Lepisosteus oculatus: one gene and its partner. The protein of the gene in region 2 interacts with the protein of the main gene of each other region in a pairwise test. Links are inferred from orthologs where the notes say so. Each region holds a gene or a part of one and is shown on either strand. Other genes may lie near its edges. The genes, in order: pdzd11 and plekha5.

The links.
Region 1: the proteins of plekha5 (region 2) and pdzd11 interact in binary tests that used the Homo sapiens proteins (3 or more experiments, as listed by UniProt). The two-hybrid records come from large-scale screens. The link is inferred for Lepisosteus oculatus from reciprocal best matches to the Homo sapiens genes PLEKHA5 and PDZD11.

Annotation. Positions count from the first base shown.
Region 1 is NC_090703.1:49,864,287-49,873,250, forward strand, and holds the start of pdzd11 (PDZ domain-containing protein 11), read right to left. Parts: upstream 3,867-8,964; 5' UTR 3,557-3,866; coding exon 3,535-3,556; intron 2,470-3,534; coding exon 2,333-2,469; intron 1,660-2,332; coding exon of another isoform or gene 1,626-1,659; coding exon 1,485-1,625; intron 1,377-1,484; coding exon 1,278-1,376; intron 795-1,277; coding exon 734-794; intron 1-733. Other genes in the region: arf-GAP with Rho-GAP domain, ANK repeat and PH domain-containing protein 1, read left to right, coding at 7,309-7,415, 7,979-8,061. UniProt on the Homo sapiens protein: Mediates docking of ADAM10 to zonula adherens by interacting with PLEKHA7 which is required for PLEKHA7 to interact with the ADAM10-binding protein TSPAN33.
Region 2 is NC_090702.1:49,614,292-49,622,511, reverse strand, and holds the start of plekha5 (pleckstrin homology domain-containing family A member 5), read right to left. Parts: upstream 3,624-8,220; 5' UTR 3,526-3,623; coding exon 3,434-3,525; intron 3,319-3,433; coding exon 3,242-3,318; intron 2,090-3,241; coding exon 2,032-2,089; intron 1-2,031.

The DNA of each region.
Region 1 (8,964 bases), on a different chromosome or scaffold from region 2:
ATTATACTCATTCCACAGAAGATTAGGTATTTGATCAAGCACGTCCCTGCACAGAAAAAGATTAGTAGTAAAGATGATCATTTCGAGCTGGACTTTGTGCAGTGGGCCTTTAGTTCTCCTAAAATGAACTAGTCCAAAACCATGCTAAATCATCAATTTAAGGATTAAACGATTGCACGAGAACCATCCTGCCTTTAATTATTCCCCCCTAACAAGAGCTCGAGGATGTGCAGAACTGGAGCATTCATCTTCCCTCCCCAGGGGTGGCAAAGGATGTGAACACCCCCTCCAGCCAGAAGGTCAAGCTCACACACGCCAACGCCAACAGGGCTGGGAACCACGGCAAGGCCTCGCCATCGGCTGTCTGGGGGAAGCCTGAAGGTCTTCCCCCTCTGCGTGTCTGGAGGACGGGAGAAAAACCTGCTCCGCGTCCCCCTCTCACTGCAGGCCGGGCTCGTGTCATTCCGCTGGGGCTGGATAACGACGCATGCAAACCATTCCGTTCTGCCCACCTGCAGGACACACGCTTGAAGATCTGTTCATCAGCCAGCAGCAGAGGCCGTGAAGCACTGAACATTCAGGCTGGTGAGGCTGGAGGGCTCTTTTTTGCCCAATTTTGTTGTGAAAGTGAAAAGGTTTCAAATTCAGCGTGCACTGGTGATAAACAGAAACGAAAGCAAGCAAAGCCACTGACAGGCTGCTACTGGGAGAGGGGCGCGAGAGCCGTACTCACTGTAGGGGAAGAAGCGCACCCTCATCAGGATCTCTCTGGCAGTTTTCAGAATCTCCACAGCCTGGGGGAGGCAAGGGGAAAAAAAGGGCAGAATAAGTATGAAAAACCATAATCCTGAACACTGATACACTGAAAGCGTTAACACAGCACAGGGCTTCACTCCTCCTGCCAGCCCAGACCCATAACAGCGGCACGAGCCAAACTGCAGCCATAACCCATAGTACTGGCAGGATGATTCTTATTGCTGAGCAGACGCCCAGGGGCATCTGGGTTACAGTGATGACATTATGTGCGAAGCGCAAGAAAAAAATCACTGCGCAAGAGGGCGATCAGCCAGCACAAAGCTGGAGGTGCAGCGCACCTTCCACAGCACGCAGACTCGAGCACCATGAGCTCATACACCCCGGCAGCGCGGATACTGAGCCACTCCGGTGGCCGGTGTTCACAGGGACCCGAAGCTCCTCCCGTGAGAAGGTCTTAAGGGCTCTGAGCGGAGCACGAGCCCCAGTCAGGAAGAGCGCAGGGGCCGCGCTGGCAGGCTCACCCTCGAGTGCTCGATGTCCTGAAAGTCGACGTCGTTCACACACAGCACCTGGTCCCCCTCCTGCAGCCCCGCCCTGTGGGCATCCGAGTCGGGCACCACCTGCCGGCGCACAGAGAGAAGGGACCGGCCCGTCAGCACCGAGGGGGAGAGGGGTCTGTCAAGCTACGACGGGGCTGCCATCCCAACAGCGCAGAGCCGGGGGCCCACCTTGGAGATGAAGATGCCCAGCTGGGAGGCTTTCCCCCCGCGGATGTTGAAGCCCAGCTGCGCCCCCGGAGGCTTCTTCAGGACGATGGTCCGCGGCAGAAACTGCGACAGCTCGTTGTTGTAGTCGTGGTGGTGGATCCGCTGGGGAGGGGACGGCAGGAGGATTCTGTAGGCACTGGGCCGGCACACAGAGCAGGACCACACAGGCTTCACTGGAGCAGGGCTGGCCCCCCAGAGCTCACCCTGACCTGACCTGACCTGACCTGACAGCACCGGCTTCTGAGGGTCACGTCGCCCGGCCAGTTAATTGGATCAATTAAATCAGGAATTTGCACCTGCGGGCCTGGAAAGCCACAGGGTCTTCCGAGTTCCCACGATTGACCTCAGCTCTCTGAGACCTGGGCTGGCCACCCCCGCACTGGATGAACTGTATTCATTTACTGTCATTTGTATTTTTTGTAATATTGTATATCTTGTTAAGCGGGTCTACTAGCTGAAAACTAGTGTGTCAAGCCGAATGCAAACTTGAATAAAAAGTAGAACAACTGGTAATAATGAAAGAGAAAGTCTGTGATATTCAGCTGAGATGCACAAGGGTGTGAATAGCTGTATAATTGCTGTCCCTGTGCTTCAAATATTCTCATGGCAGGTTTCCGACACACCCATGTAAAACTAGAACACAAGTCAAAATTCTGGAAGACCACCTGAAGGCAAATGTTTAATCACAACCATTTTCAACCTCAAACCCTTAACACCTTAACCAAAAGCAAGCTAAAGAAAGTCTGATGTGTAAAAGACAGACTGCTAGACACTGCAGGGGCTGTGGGACATCAAGTCCCTGAAAATACCTCCTGTGGGGGTATCCATGCTGGGGGGTTTTCATATGAAGGCAGGAAGACCACCGGGAGCTGATAGTCATCGTAGGGAATCTTCTGGTCCATGAGTGCCACACCCGTCACAAGCCACAACACCGAGGCTCTGAGGACTGCGAACAGGAGGAACCTCTTTACACAGAGGGTTGTGGGTGTCTGGAACAAGCAAACTAGCCATGTGCACAGTACTCGAAACACACTGGAACACTGCCCCTTTGAACAGTAATCAAAAGCTGCTGGACAAGGTTATAACAATAACTGTGAATGATATTGTAGGAAAGCAGAAGGCCCTCAGTGCATGTTTGGAATTAATATTCAGCCAATAAAACAAACTGCATTTAAAACAGACTGCAGACAAATAAACAAACTGCAATAAGAACCTGCATTTAAAACAAGAGGATAAAGGATTAGATTCCGCTGTTCCAGGAACCCATGTTAATTCTACTCGTCCTCAGTCTGCTCAGAACTCTGCAGCAGCTGGGCTCTGGTCTGTCTCCTAAGCCCTCTCTGTCTATACCCAGATCACAGGAAACTCCTGCTCAAAATGTGTCTGCTTTCTCACACCATTGCTATTTTTAAGCTAATCTCAAGACATTTTTGTCTTTCCATCTGCATGCACAATTTGAACTGATCAAATGTTATTGTTGTTAGCGGTGATTCTTGAATTCTATGTGTTTTTTATTGTACTCTTTTTATTGTAAAATGATTTAGAACTTTTTCCATCGTTAATATCTACACAAGCGTAAATTGAAATGTACTGTTTATTACGCTCTATATTTTCCCCGGTCTCTTTTTTGTAAATTCGGAGATATAGTCATTTCTGAATCGTAGTCACGAAGCACACCTTGAAGGAAAACACGTCAGGCAAATTTCCTGCGGAAAACAACGTTAAGAATGACATGATTCTACCTGCACTACCGGATTCACTCCCTGAAATTAATTTTGCCTACCGCACTTTAAAACAACATCCCTTAGATCAGTTGCGCAAGTCGTTTAACCACCCTGCTGTAAAATCATTTATCGCCAGTTTTCACACACCCAAAAAAAAAGTTTCAAAGTCGCGGAATCGGGTGAGAAATTGAAAGACATGCAGGAGAGATACATGGGAGATCTTGTTCATCAAAATACTTTTCACTGAACCGTGTCATAACGAGAAGAACGCTGCTTGTATCCTTCACCTGGGGGTGAGCAGATGAACATTTAGCGGCCGCTCAGAAGAGGGAGTTCTGCGTGTTGACATTACATCTGAGTGAAATAAAGCATCTGTCGCGGACAGCCACCGCGAAGGGTCGGTTCCGTATTAAAGAATGAGCAAGGACTAAGCCGAAGCTACGAACGCATTATATTTCCTAGTCGACAAAACCGTCTTTAACTGTAACAGATGACACCGTTTTATACACAAATCACCCTCGCCGCTCTGCGCGCAGGGTAAATATCAGTTTGAAATTCCAAGAGCTATCGGGTGGTTCATGCCTACTAAAAAACATCAGGCAGCGGGTGTCCCTGAACCTAAGCCTTAAATCAGTACGTCCTGTTTACCTGATTCAGGTGCTACACGCTACACTAAACCCATTCACTCCTCATCTGCGAGCAGGGAAATCAAACCGCGGCGATCTTACAGTTTGGGTTATATAACATTACAGGTTGGAAAATTCCGATCTCACCAAGCGGAAGTCAAGTCGCTCCCTGCCAGCCTCAGTCCATGCCACGCCCACCCCCTCCCTCGTCAGCTGACCGGCCTCCACTGTCACATGACTGGAAGCGCCTGCCCCCGTGCGGTCCGTCACAGCTGAGTGATTGAGAGAATATGTTGGGCATTACGGCGCAAAGCAAGAATCCCCAAGAGTTTGGGGAATTATGGCCACTACATCGGAAAATATTTTGTTACTCTGGAATCAGTCCAGAAAAGAATACCCACATATATTTCTAGGCTGAAGTAATTTACCTAAACTGACATTCTGACTTTTGAACTGAACCTTTTTAGTCTTCAATACTGAGAACAATAATAATAATAATAATAATAATAATAATAATAATAATAATAATAATTCTTTACACTTACAGTATATCGCGCTTTCTGGACACTCCACTCAAAGGACTCCCCTCCGCCACCAGTGTGCAGCCCCACCTGGATGATGCACCAGTCCTCTGCCCACACACCAGCTCTCAGTGGGGAGGAGAGCAGGGGGATGAAACCAGTTCGGAGATGGGGATCATGGGGAGGCCATGACTGGTAAACGCCAGGGGTAAAATAACTGTAAAAGGCGTTTATGCCACGTTTAGGTCGAATATTTCATCATCGCTACCGTTCTTTCTTCAAAGTAAAAAAAATAGTTCACAAATCTACCACGTACCGTATTTTTACATTTATAAAAATATGCTCACATAAATGTTTTACAGTATATATATCTATGTTGTTTTTTTCAGTACCGTAGAATTTTCCACGTAGTCTATGTGCAAACACTCTTGTTTTCACAGACAGCGGTTAGCTGTCATCTTGGTCTGCCTTGTCATGCTATTTAGATTATCACCTCTAGAGCCGTCGTAATGAAACCAGCCCTTACAGTGTTCATTACTATCGTAAGTATAGGTTTATTCCATGCTGAAAAAAAGAAGAGAGAAAACACAACGTTTCGGCTGTGAAGCCTTCTTCAACACACACGAAGAAAGCTTCACAGACGAAACGTTGTGTTTCCTCTCTTCTCTTTTCAGCATGGAATAAACCTATTAACGTGTCCCTTTGCAGCCTACGCATGCTGACGCAGCTCCCCACCTGAACTACATTACTATCGTAATCTACAGTACGGAACTGGGGCTGTCCGTTTCATTTTTGACACCTAAACGCCTATGAATCATGAGCATATCCAGGAAACAATTAGATTTTCTCGGGCAGAAGATACTTGTTTGTTTATTGATAGTTTTTTTTTTGTTCACGTCAGGGGCGTGCATCGTGTCAGCGCTGCCGAGTCGCCGAAACCGGTCGAACGGGTGAATCAGCCGGTGACGCGACCAGCCGCGAGCCCAGACCCACTACAGTCACGGAAACGGGGTGACTTCGCTGCGCAGGACAGAACCCCGAAGCCCAGGAGCCGCGAGAAGGTAGGCATGGCTCCCTCCCTCGCCTCATCCTTCCCCACGTTAGGACCCGAGAGCGTCTGACGGCTGCTCCTGTCGTCCTTCCTGAGACGGACGAGCGGCCCAGAGGATCTCCGGTAGATCTAGCTGCACCTGTGTTGGACTGGAAAGCGGGGAAAGGGGCATTTGTCAGTTTGAAGCCCGAGCAGAGAAAGTCGTGCGTGGAGTCTGGAAATTAACCGCGTGTTTGGAAATTAAAGTGTTGGGGTTTGTAAGTACCCACCGTTTACGCGCGTTGAGTTTGATATTTTAATACCCTCCTGCATTTACCTCAGTTGTTTTGATAGACCCAGTTAATGAAAGCAAATGCTTTTCTAGGGAAATATTCAGCTCAGTATGTTTGTTCCCTCTTACTTATTTAAGCTGTCGTATCTTACTTTGAAAACCGCAAGTCAGACTCAAGCATTACGATGACTAGGCATTGAGATAGGCACTTTTTATCGGCATGGATCGTGTGACCCGTGTGTGGCTTGATGGTATAGTTGCTTTAATTTTTGGAACCCCAAGAATACTGAACCCCTGAAACCCCACCAATGCACCAATCTGATACATTTACATGAAAATACATACCGGGAAAATAGACACACAGGCAGCAAAATAAGTTTGGGGAAATGCATTGGCACAGATCTGTGTTGTTTTGCAACCAAATACCTGATAAGAACTGTGCAGTGACAGCGCAAAACGCTTGAATCTTTATACTCAGATAACAAACCTCAGCCTGAACCCCCTAGAAAACATCAACAAAAAATACTGTTAACTCTTTGCCATCCTGTGCACTGTTATGCCAATGATATAGGCAGGACTATTTTGGAAGGCTTTTATCTACAGATGGCATTTATGACTGAAGTGAGCAAGCATTATGTAAAAATGGATTAAAATAGGCACCATGCGGTTAACTAATGTAACTTCTTTTTTTCATAAGTAAATATACATTGAGCTGCAGAGCATGAAAGTAAGTCAGTTATATTATGGCAAGAGACTCAGTCCAGGTCCTGGAAAGTACCAATCTAGTCAGACTCTTTTTCTTCTCCAGTCATATTCCTAAGTGCCTCAAAATGTGTTTTTCCCCCTTACATGTTGGTGTAAATGAAATCCTAAAAATAATTCCTTACACTTGTATAGTGCTTTTCTGGACACACTGTGCAGCCCCACCTGGATGATGCGACGGCAGCCAGAGTAAACCAGTCCTTTCCCCACACACCAGCTCTCAGTGGCGAGGAGAGCAGTGATGAAGCCAGTTCAGGGATGGGGATTATTAGGAGGCCATGATTTTTAAGGGCCAGGGGAGGAGTCTGGCCAGGACACTGGGCTAACAACCCTACGCTTTTTTTTAATGACCACAGAGTCAAGAGCTCAGTTTTATGTCTCATCACTGTCTTTTTACAGTAGAGTGTCCCCGTCAGTATACTGGGGCTTTAGGACCCACACAGACCGCAGGGTGAGCGCCCCCTGCTGGTTCCAGTAACACCTCTTCCAGCAGCAACCTCAGATTTCCCAGGTGTCTCCCCTCCGGGTACTGGCTCCAGTGGCTTGTTGCTCTTAGTGTTTGCTCGCTGCAGCGTGTGGGTTGCTGAGCTTCAGCGTGTAGCCAGTTGTGTGTTGCAGAGCTGCTGGCTGTTAGGTCCTGTCACAGGCTGACAGCTGGACCTGCCTGGGGGAAGGCCGTGCGGAGGGGCGGGTCTTGTTTCATCCAGTGACACGGCCAGGAACTCCCCTGCCTTTCCTGCCCCGCTGGCAGCCGAAACGCGATTTCTCCTCGCTGCCTGTCCGGACTGTCCTTCTCTTGCTCTTCCAGTCGCAGTCGGGATCTGGCCAGGATGTCAGCCCCCGTTGACAGTGAGGTGACCCCCCCGGTTCCCAAACCTCGGGCCAGATACACTTGGTCCGTGGAAAGCACACCAGCCCCTCCCCCTGTTCCCAGGAGGTGAGTGAGACGTTCGATCGCCGAAGAGTGGATTCGCCTGTCAGGCTAGACAGCTTCAACTTCGGGATGGGGGCTGAGAAGAGACGGAGCCATTTCCAACAGAAAAAAAGGAACAGTTACAGTTATGGAACAAGTAATAGGTTTATTCCATGCTGAAAAAAAGAAGAAAGAGAACACAACGTTTCGGCCGTGGAGCCTTCTTCAGGTGGAGAAGAAGGCTCCTGAAGAAGGCTCCACGGCCGAAACGTTGTGTTCTCTTTCTTCTTTTTTTCAGCATGGAATAAACCTATTATAGTATATTGTTCCTTTGCAGCCTACGCATGCTGACGCAGCTCCCTACCTGAACAGTTACAGTTATATCTTGTTCTGAATACAAATGAAGCGTGGCCTGTTTAAAAGTGCCATTTTTTACACATTAAACTGATATAAAGTATATTCAAATGTCACTTCTTCACCAATACCTGGGAAACGTACTGTAGAGAAGCTTCCTGCTGTAGCTCCCAGTGTTGTTGAGACGTCGTTAGAGTATCGGTCTAATCCTTACGGGTTCGTGTCTCTTGCAGGATGTCATCAAATAACATACTGGATTCTGAGACAGCAAATTCGCAGGCTGAGCCAGAGAGTGAGCGGCAGCCCCCGAGGACAGGTGAGATGACGGAGGATGCCCGGATGGTGAAGGAGCCTGGAGGATGTCAAAAGAGTTGCCCCTCCTGCGCTGAGGAGAGCTGAAGTGGGCCAAAACAATTATTTTGGATTGAAAGTCCACTTTTCAAAGGAGAAGACACCTAACCAGGAAAGAGTAGACAGGCATAAGATTGTTTGAAAATGACAGGGGTCATTTGGCCTGTCTGCCTTATGTACTTTTTCTTAGGTGATTTGAGCCCAGGTGCATGGCAGTGCTTTCTGACATTCGTACGAGTACCTGATTCCAGACTCCCACAACTCTTTGTGTTTTGCATACTTTTATGAATGAACCAATGTCCCCCTTAAAAATAAATAGCTGGGGGCATGTGCTCTGTATTTTTGTGATTGATATTTAATCACTGACAATAGATGGTTAAGCAAGATTAACAGCTGACAAACAGCTCCACCAATTACATTAAATTGGAAAACCTGGGAGAGCAGACTGCGTAAACATAGAGAAACTCAACTGTAATACTGGTGTAAAAACACCCCTGCTTTTATGAACATGGGTACTGTAGCTTTCAGTAACTTCTGTTCTCTTAGTAATCATACCAGGAGGAATGTCTGGTCTGAATGTCTGAAATTGAACCTAATTTCAATTTATGATTATTTTTATTTATTGATTTCAGTGCCCAGAAACAACAGTTGTAGCTCCTTCCTGCTTCCCTGGTTGGCCTTGGAAAGTGTGGAAGAACTTCTGATTTTAGCTAGTTAGACAAGACGAGCAACTTTTATTCATATCTGTGTTGCAATGTCTTCAAGGCAGTTGACTGAGACACCTCTTTCCTTTTCGGCCAGACAAGGAAGGCTTTGACAAAGTATCAGTTCAGCATTTGAGTATTTGTTCCACAAAATTGCTCCTCAG
Region 2 (8,220 bases):
ACAGTGTGAGGGCTTTTGATCCGATACACCAATATATAACAATGAAGAATTCAAAATAGGAAACTTTCTATTATATACTTTCAGTACAAAGAGAATGACTTATTGGAGAAATTCAGGCAAAACAATACATAAAAAGCCGAAGATTAACACCTATTCAATGTAGATTTAAAAACAGTTTCAGAAGAGTCAAGCATAGAGTGTATTTAAAAGATTTATATACACCCATAATGATAATATTACATATTGCTGCTTATTAGGATGGTTTAATGTGATATAGTCTTTTACCAAAATTTAGCTGAAGATTTCTAAAAGTTTCTTCCTAAAAAGATCAAACTGGTCACAAAATGTGACCTTGTGAACTCTAATGATTAATGATTCTACTAATGATTTTTAATACAGTTTGAAAAACACATATTCCCCAAGAACAAGAAGTCAGAAAAAGCCCCGCAGTTGTTGTTGTTGAAGCCAGCACCATGGGTTCTTTCAAGAACAAGATGAATGAGATCCCTCAAGCAGGACAGGAGGCACGTCTTTATGCTTTTTACACAAAGAGATGCTGGAACAAGCTGCCCAGTCACTTTGATGAAGTCGACACCCTGACACCCTTCAAGAAACAGCTGGATGAGATTCCTGGATCACTAGGCCTCTAAATATCAAACAGGATAGATGGGCCAAACGCCTTCCTCTAAAAAGTGACTTTTGTCTTCAAGATGACAGGTACAGTACATTTTAAAATCACTCTCCAGAATGCAAAAGGCTCAAATCATATTAAATATGAAGAATCTTGATGAGTGTATTTAATATTATATTGACAGGTGTGCATGAACCCTATATAATGTTTTTTTAAATGCATACAAGATAAAAAGAACTCGACTGACAGCCCAACCTTGCACTCTACCTCTTCACACCATATAAACTTCAGCTTAGGCTCCGACACCATTGTGCACTCTAATTACGAATTTAAAAAAAAATCATGTTTTATCAGCTGTCCAAAAATGGCACAGAATGAATAGTGCATCTTAACATCATTTCCACCACAAAACTCAGAGTGTGACATGGAAGCATCCTTTGTGTGAATGAATGAATCACTGATAAAGAGCTGAAGTGTTTCCAAAGCTAAACACAAAATAATGACACAATAATCGGTCTTGGCAAAAAGCAAATATATTTCCTTCATAAAACAGCCTAGGGACAACATACAATCTATTATCTCTGGCATGCTCATTTCCATTTGTATAGCCCTCCATTAAACATATTTAAACTAGTAAATAACTAAACCTATCTCATTTCAGGGAGGAGAAAGCTTTTTTTTTTTTGCACCAGTTGTTCCTCTACATTCTAAGGCTAAATCCACCACACTCAAAAGAGAAAGAAATTGTTTCTGTTCATTCCTTCACCACCAGACAGAAATGGCTTCACATAGCATCTCCAAAAAACAAACACCCCATACGGACTTTAACACCGATGCATGAAAAAAAACCACTTTTACCACTTTCAATGCAGGGCAAATGCACAGCACCCATCAGCAGGGACGTTCTCCTCCAAAGAGAGCATTTAGAGAAACTCAGGCTTGCATTTGAAGTCTCTGCAGCCCAGATCACCTTTCAGCAGTGTGACGGCAAAATCCACTGCTTTTGAATATATATAAAAACCCAAGGCTCTGAAATAACGTGTACAAACTAGAGACCTGATGTTCTGTCCCGAAGGAGGTGTGCTGTCATACAAGTCAAGCCTGTTCAACCGAGAGGGGGCTGAGTCACACCGACTTCCAAAACTAGAGCTCAGTCTGACAGTAAAGGTGAGCTCTGGGAGAGATACCTCGTTTTCTGCACTTTTCCCTCTCTCCTTGCAAAGCACCAAGGGGGGGGGGGGGAGATTTTACAAACATCCCAAAAGGGAAAGAGGGCAGACAGTAGAGGAAAGGGGAGAGGGGGGCGCTTTTCCGAGAGTCACCAAGTGTCAAAAAGCACGACGCCAAACTCCGCAGCTTTTTAAACACGGGCGGCTGTTCGCGGGTGGATGCCAACTCACTTTATGAAGCACCGAGCTCCCTCGAACGTGAATCCTTCTTCCCAGCCAGTGGGCAAGTCTAAGTAAAACAGAAGAAGGAGAGAAAAAAAAAAACACTTTATAACTTTACAGAGCAGGGAGAGACAGATGCTGGTGACCTGCAGGCGCTGTCCTGCTCTGCGGAGCGATGCGCAGTGCCATTAGTGGGTCACTGGGCTGTTTTCCACCGCTCCCGCTGTACTGCAGCACCAGCGGTGATAACACAACCGGCGAGACCGCTACCGGAGGAGCAGGCTGATCATTTCTCATCGCATTTTTTTCCCCACAACTGCACAACCTTTACGCGGAGCGAACGGGCGTACGGGGCTTTTAAACGCGGGGGTAATGCTATTTTATAAGAGCCTGTTCCTCGCACGGCTCCGTGTCAACAGCAACAAACACACGCGTCGCAGGACAGTATTTGTGAAATTCCTCCTTTTTCCTCTCTTTCCTTTAGGGGGAAATCAGCGGGTCCACCGACTCGACACGCCGTAGGCTCATTTGTAAGCAAGACCTCGCGTCTCGGGCTCCCCGTGGTTTGATCATTTATTTTATTTTTATTTTATTTTTTTTTATAGCGCCTCTCTCACATCGCCAGCGCCGCCGCACCCCCGCTTCGCTCCAGCTACCTGACCGAGCTACAACACGCTCGCCCGGCGGCGTCTTCCTCGACCTGCGATCGCTACCCGATTGCTACCAAAAGTCCGCCTGCACACACACACACACAAAAAAAATAACCAAGCGACGAGGGGGCAACTTTTCCCCGGCGCTGGTTTTTGACTATCCATGATCGCCCCACGCTACGTTATAACGCGTGTGGCAGGTTGCACCGTTCAACACAACCACCACCGCAAAAAAAAAAAGTAATGACATGACAAGACAACCCCCTGAAACCAATTCTGAAGGTCTCTCCGACACGAACGAACTACTTTTTTTTTTCTGGCCGGTCTCTAGTTCCCACGTTTACCTGCTACCGAGCGAGCGTGCGTTTCCAGCACTGCTGGTGCACTGACAGCCGCACTTGAGATTTCTTGCCCTAATGTTTGAACACCGGTAAACAACACCAGCAGTACTCTGGAGACACGACCGACAGACCCCTGGAAACGCGACTTAAAGCCCTCCCTGGTCCCTCCGCGACACCAAAGCCAGTGCACAGCAAAGGCGCCCCGGCCAGCGGCAAAGCAGCATTTACCTGGAGTTTTCCTGTGTCCAGTAATTACGGCCTCACCAGTGACTGGATGCAACCAGGTTGTACTCTTAGCCTGTTCGCTGTGGGTAAGAAATAAAAAAAAAAGGGAAACAACGTATAAAAACAGCGTGAGCTGCACATTCAAGCCGGGGAAAGGGCTATGTATCCCAAGGTCTGTATCCACTCGATATTTACTTGATGAAGAAGACACGTCCGTCCCGGGTGACCCCATAACTCCAAGAAGACGGGAGGCAAGACAGCCACTCCGGATTGAGATCCGCCGCCATGTCTGGCAATCTCCAGCGCTGGAAGTGCGCGTCCTCGCCGCGCGGACACGGGAGCCCAGGCAACGGGGTCGGAGGCAGAGCGCGCCGAGCGCGGCAGACCTCTCGAGGGGAGGGGGGGGCGGGAGCGTGCTTGCGAAACGCCAGCCTCCCGGCTCACTGGTCGCGCTGCTGTCGGCTTCTCAGCCCCGCTCGAATAAAAAGGGTGGTGTAAACAAGGAAGGTGTGTCTTGTCGCCTTTCCTGACAGGTATCGCCTGGGTGCTTAAAGAGACAGGGGGTGAGCACGTGGAGCGGGGAGAAGCGGGAGAGAGACTGGTCGATTCGCGATCACCCCGACCTGTCATGCGGAAATCTGGAGGCATGTTTTATGCAGACGTGAGCAGCGGGTGAAAATGAATCCACGTCTGGAAACGAGCTGTCATATATTCAGGACCTATTGCAATAAATAGGGGATAACTAATCCCGATACACATGAGGCAGGTACAGTATTCTCCACATTGCTGTCTGTAGCTTTTATGGGGGGGAATGGTTCACTCATTGTATTTTTATTGCCTCGATTAAGTTCCCGTGAACCTGATTTTAGATTTTAAGATAACCAAGGCTCTACAAGTGACTTCCAGAGAACGAACTGCAACCGCCTCGAAGCAGGTAACCGAGTAATGATGTGTAAATGCTGAGATGACGTCCGCGTCACGTCTCCCTCTTGGGGTTTTGCAACATGAAGGGATTGGTCTCCCTCACAAAATGATTAAAAAAGCAAAGGGGAAAACGCATGCAAAGCATCAGACGCGGTGCCGCAAAATAGGCGTCTCATAAATAACCTTACAGGTGTGTGTGTGTGTGAACTGTCCTTAACAATAAATCCATACACATAAAACCTGTAATGTCCCATTAGCATCTTGCTTCTTTCTAAATGTCCTCGTGTTTGCAGCTCTCAGCTTTCTACGACAATGCGGGACGATGATAATGGCGTGCATTCATTCAATAAAGATAAAGACGGCTGAACCCAGGGCCAGTTGCGGCTCTCCAGAAGGTTTTGTTATGACCCCTGACCTCTTCTCTAGAAGGGCAACTTCAGCAGGCGCCCTGCTCCAAAGCCATGTGAGAGCACTGCTTGCATTGTGCCAGTCAAGACGAGCACGCTTCTGCACTGCGCGGAACAGACACTGGGGTGATTATGGAGCTCGTCTGACAAGGAATTCTTCTGCACTTCTGACAAGAACAGAGATCGCTTCAGTGTGGAGAGATCGAGGTGACAATCTGACTTCTTCCCTTGTGAAAACTGAGCAGCGGGCTTCAAAGGGGGGTATTTTGATCCAGTGGGATGACGTACTGTAGATCTGTGTAGGCTGAGAGATATGAATGAAAGAATCACCAGTGCAGTCAATTCTGGACGGAAATGAATTACATCATTTATTTTACTTAGCGTTACCGTTCCAACATACAGTGCAGTATGAACAGGTTTGCGCCTGTCACTTAATGTTTTACAACCGTGATCAAATAAATACGACCAGTGAAATGTATTCATCGTCAGTGACACTTCAGATTGCAAGTCTGTGGATTTTATGTTGTAACACAATCTCGTATGTCCTCGTGTAATGTAATTATAACGAGTTTACAGGTTTTAAAGCGCTTCGATCGGTATTTGCATATTTAGGCGGCAAAGACCTTCTATTGCTTAATCTCTTTCCCAGGAAAAGACAGACACATGAAAACCAATCCATCGTGGGAAACTTGTAGCTCTGGAAAAGAGATCCATCTAATTTTAAAAGCTGAAGACAGGAAGTGGTATAAGAATATCTGAGTGGAAATTCACACAGTCAAAACAGATTTACCAATGAGTAAAGACATCGCGTGGGACAATATTAACCGTGCTAACTGTATATTGATTTCTGTAAATCATTCAGAAGAGGCTATCACATCAAGTTTTGTCCTTTTTTATTATCACTTGTACGTAATTAAATATTAATCATTAAACCACAGTGCATTACGCGCATGTTGAATCGTATTCTTGCAATTACTGTATTCTCCATTCATTTTCGTGGAAATACTTTGCAACAGTAGTCTGTTTAGGACAGAACAGAAGCTAAAACGTCGGTATCCTGTAGTACTGTATATTTTCCTTCAGTACAACATCATATTGGTACCCCCACGTTGAAGACGATAGTTGTTGGATCCAGCACAACGGACGAGGCCAGAACTCAAAAGGCTAATGACGACCTGATCACTTCACATTGGATGTTTTAATCAGTACTGGGGGATATGCTAATAGATCTACACCTGGATTGTACCTTTCCCTCTAAAATTAAAGTATGTCTCACCACGGGCGACAGCAAGAATTGACGAGAATTGTTATGTGAATTTGCCCTTCCTTCTCCCTAGTCACTGACTAATGTAATGGGTTGCACAAGTGAAGTAAGTACAGGAGATGCAACAAATATTTCACTGCAGAAAGTCATCAAGTTTCCATCGTGATCTGCACTCAGAGTTAACAAGTTCCATTTAGCAGCAAAACCTTCTAGGGTAATATTTCTGTTGGATTGTATTCACAAGCCTGCTTATTTACAATGTAATAAGGCCTCATCACATCACTGGACCTTTTGTTGCCTTCTTCTGAATCGCAGAATATGGCATTGTGCATACAGTACCTGGAAATCTCATCTACTGGTGTAAATTGGAGGTTTTACAAGTTACTGTGTACATTTTACTTTATTACGGTTTATTAAATCTTTATTATGGGTAGAAATGCAGTCATCAATGCTAATTCTTTCTAACCCCAAAATATCAACATAGCATTGCAGTTCCCCTTCAATAGTTTATCACCAGTAAATTGTTTTCTCATGGTATAAAACACACTCATTATATAAGAGCTGTTTAAGCAAAATTATTTTCTCCTAATGTCTTCTTCTTTTTTTTCCAAAATGGGAAGTAAGTTCTTCTCCTTGGCAAAAAAATGTGAAAATCATCAGTCTTCTATTCACAACGACACAGCAAACAGAATTCAAAGACAAAATAAAGGAGTCAGTAATCTGCTGTATCTGTTTCCTTGCACAGTATGATATCGCAACGTCCGGTGAAAGTTGATGTGAACTGCAATAAACACATCCCAACAGTGATAAGAACAGGGATCGTTTAAGGTAGTATTATAAAATCATCTGTGAGTATTCTAAATTTACACTCAATGTAAGAAACTATATCAAACATGCATTTTTTTTCTAAATACTTTATCCAATACAGGGTTGCAGGGGAGCTGTAGCCTATATCCCAGCAAGCAATGGGCACAAGGTGGGCTACGCCCTGGATGAGACGCCAGTCCAGTTCAGGGCACACACAGACAGAAACACGCACTCATTCACACAAGGGCCAATTTTCCCAGAGGTCATTTAACCCACCAGTATGTCTTTGGATTGCGGGAGGAAATCTGAGCACCTAAAGGAAACCCACGCAAAGAGAGCATAAAAACTGTATGCGCACAGCTGCTGAGGTCCGGAATTGAACCCAGGGCCCCAGCACTGCAAGGTAGCAATGAAATAATGGCTCAATAATGCAAACCATTGAGCCTCCCTATATGAAACATCTGATGGCAAAATTTGAAGTATTATAGTACTCACACTTTTACATGGGTATAGTCCTGGTGGAGGGTTACTTCCTGTCAATAATCTTATCACTGTCTAAACTACAGAGATGTCATAGTGTGGTAACTGAGAAAAGCATGACACTTACTGTACTTGCAATAGAGCCCGACTGTGTTAGGAAACAGTTGTTTTCCCCAGGTTTGTGAGCTTAATGTGAACATGCATTCTCTCTTTCAAACCTTTTCAGTTCTGAATCTCGGCGCTTACCGAAGAAGGTAAATATGGAAGCAATGGGAAAAGTATTAAACTCTTCCAGTCTCTGCCTCGCAGTGTCTCACCCATCATGACAGTTGTCTGATGCATCATATGTTGAGTCAGTCTCACACTAAAGTCATTCATAGAATCAGACTTAACTAAACCATTTAATCCATCCCTCCAGTAAACTGTCACAATGCATAGTTTGGGACCCTGTGCAGACGGTATAATCCGGAAGCTGGAAGTGACTGGAATAAGACTTCTAGGGAAACACAGCAGGAGCAGGACGGGAAGACAGACAGGGGGGCGTGGCGGCTGTGATCTGGCGCTCAGGGGGCGTGGCGCAGGCAGACAAGTCCAGTGGGGGTGCAAAGTGGAAAAACAGGGCGCAGTCCAGAGTCCAGGTGGCCGGAAGATACAATCCGAGACGAGACAAACACGGTAAAAATCCGGAACAGGGACAGGGAACCAGGAGGATAAAACCAGTAATGAGGCCAGGAGCTCCGAGTCCGGAACTCAGCAGGTGTGGACGCCGATCAAAGCCTAAGCCCTCACGCCGCAGATGTAGGGCATCTTGATGCTAGGCAGACTTCTGGGCGTCTGTCTTCCAAGGCAGAGCCAAGCGTAGCGGGAGTGCCCGCCTTAAATAAAGACGGACAAAACGGGGCATTTGCACGAAATCAACTAAAATCCGAAAAGGCTGGAGCGCCCTTAAGAGGAGGGATTAGGATCGTGACATAAACAGCAGCAGTAAGTAGCAATGCATGGCACGAGGGAATCACAAGAGGTGACGATCATTTATGTTTGAATCTGTTCAAATATCCCAAGTCTTAAAAAGGGATTGTGCTACATAATTCTGGAGAATG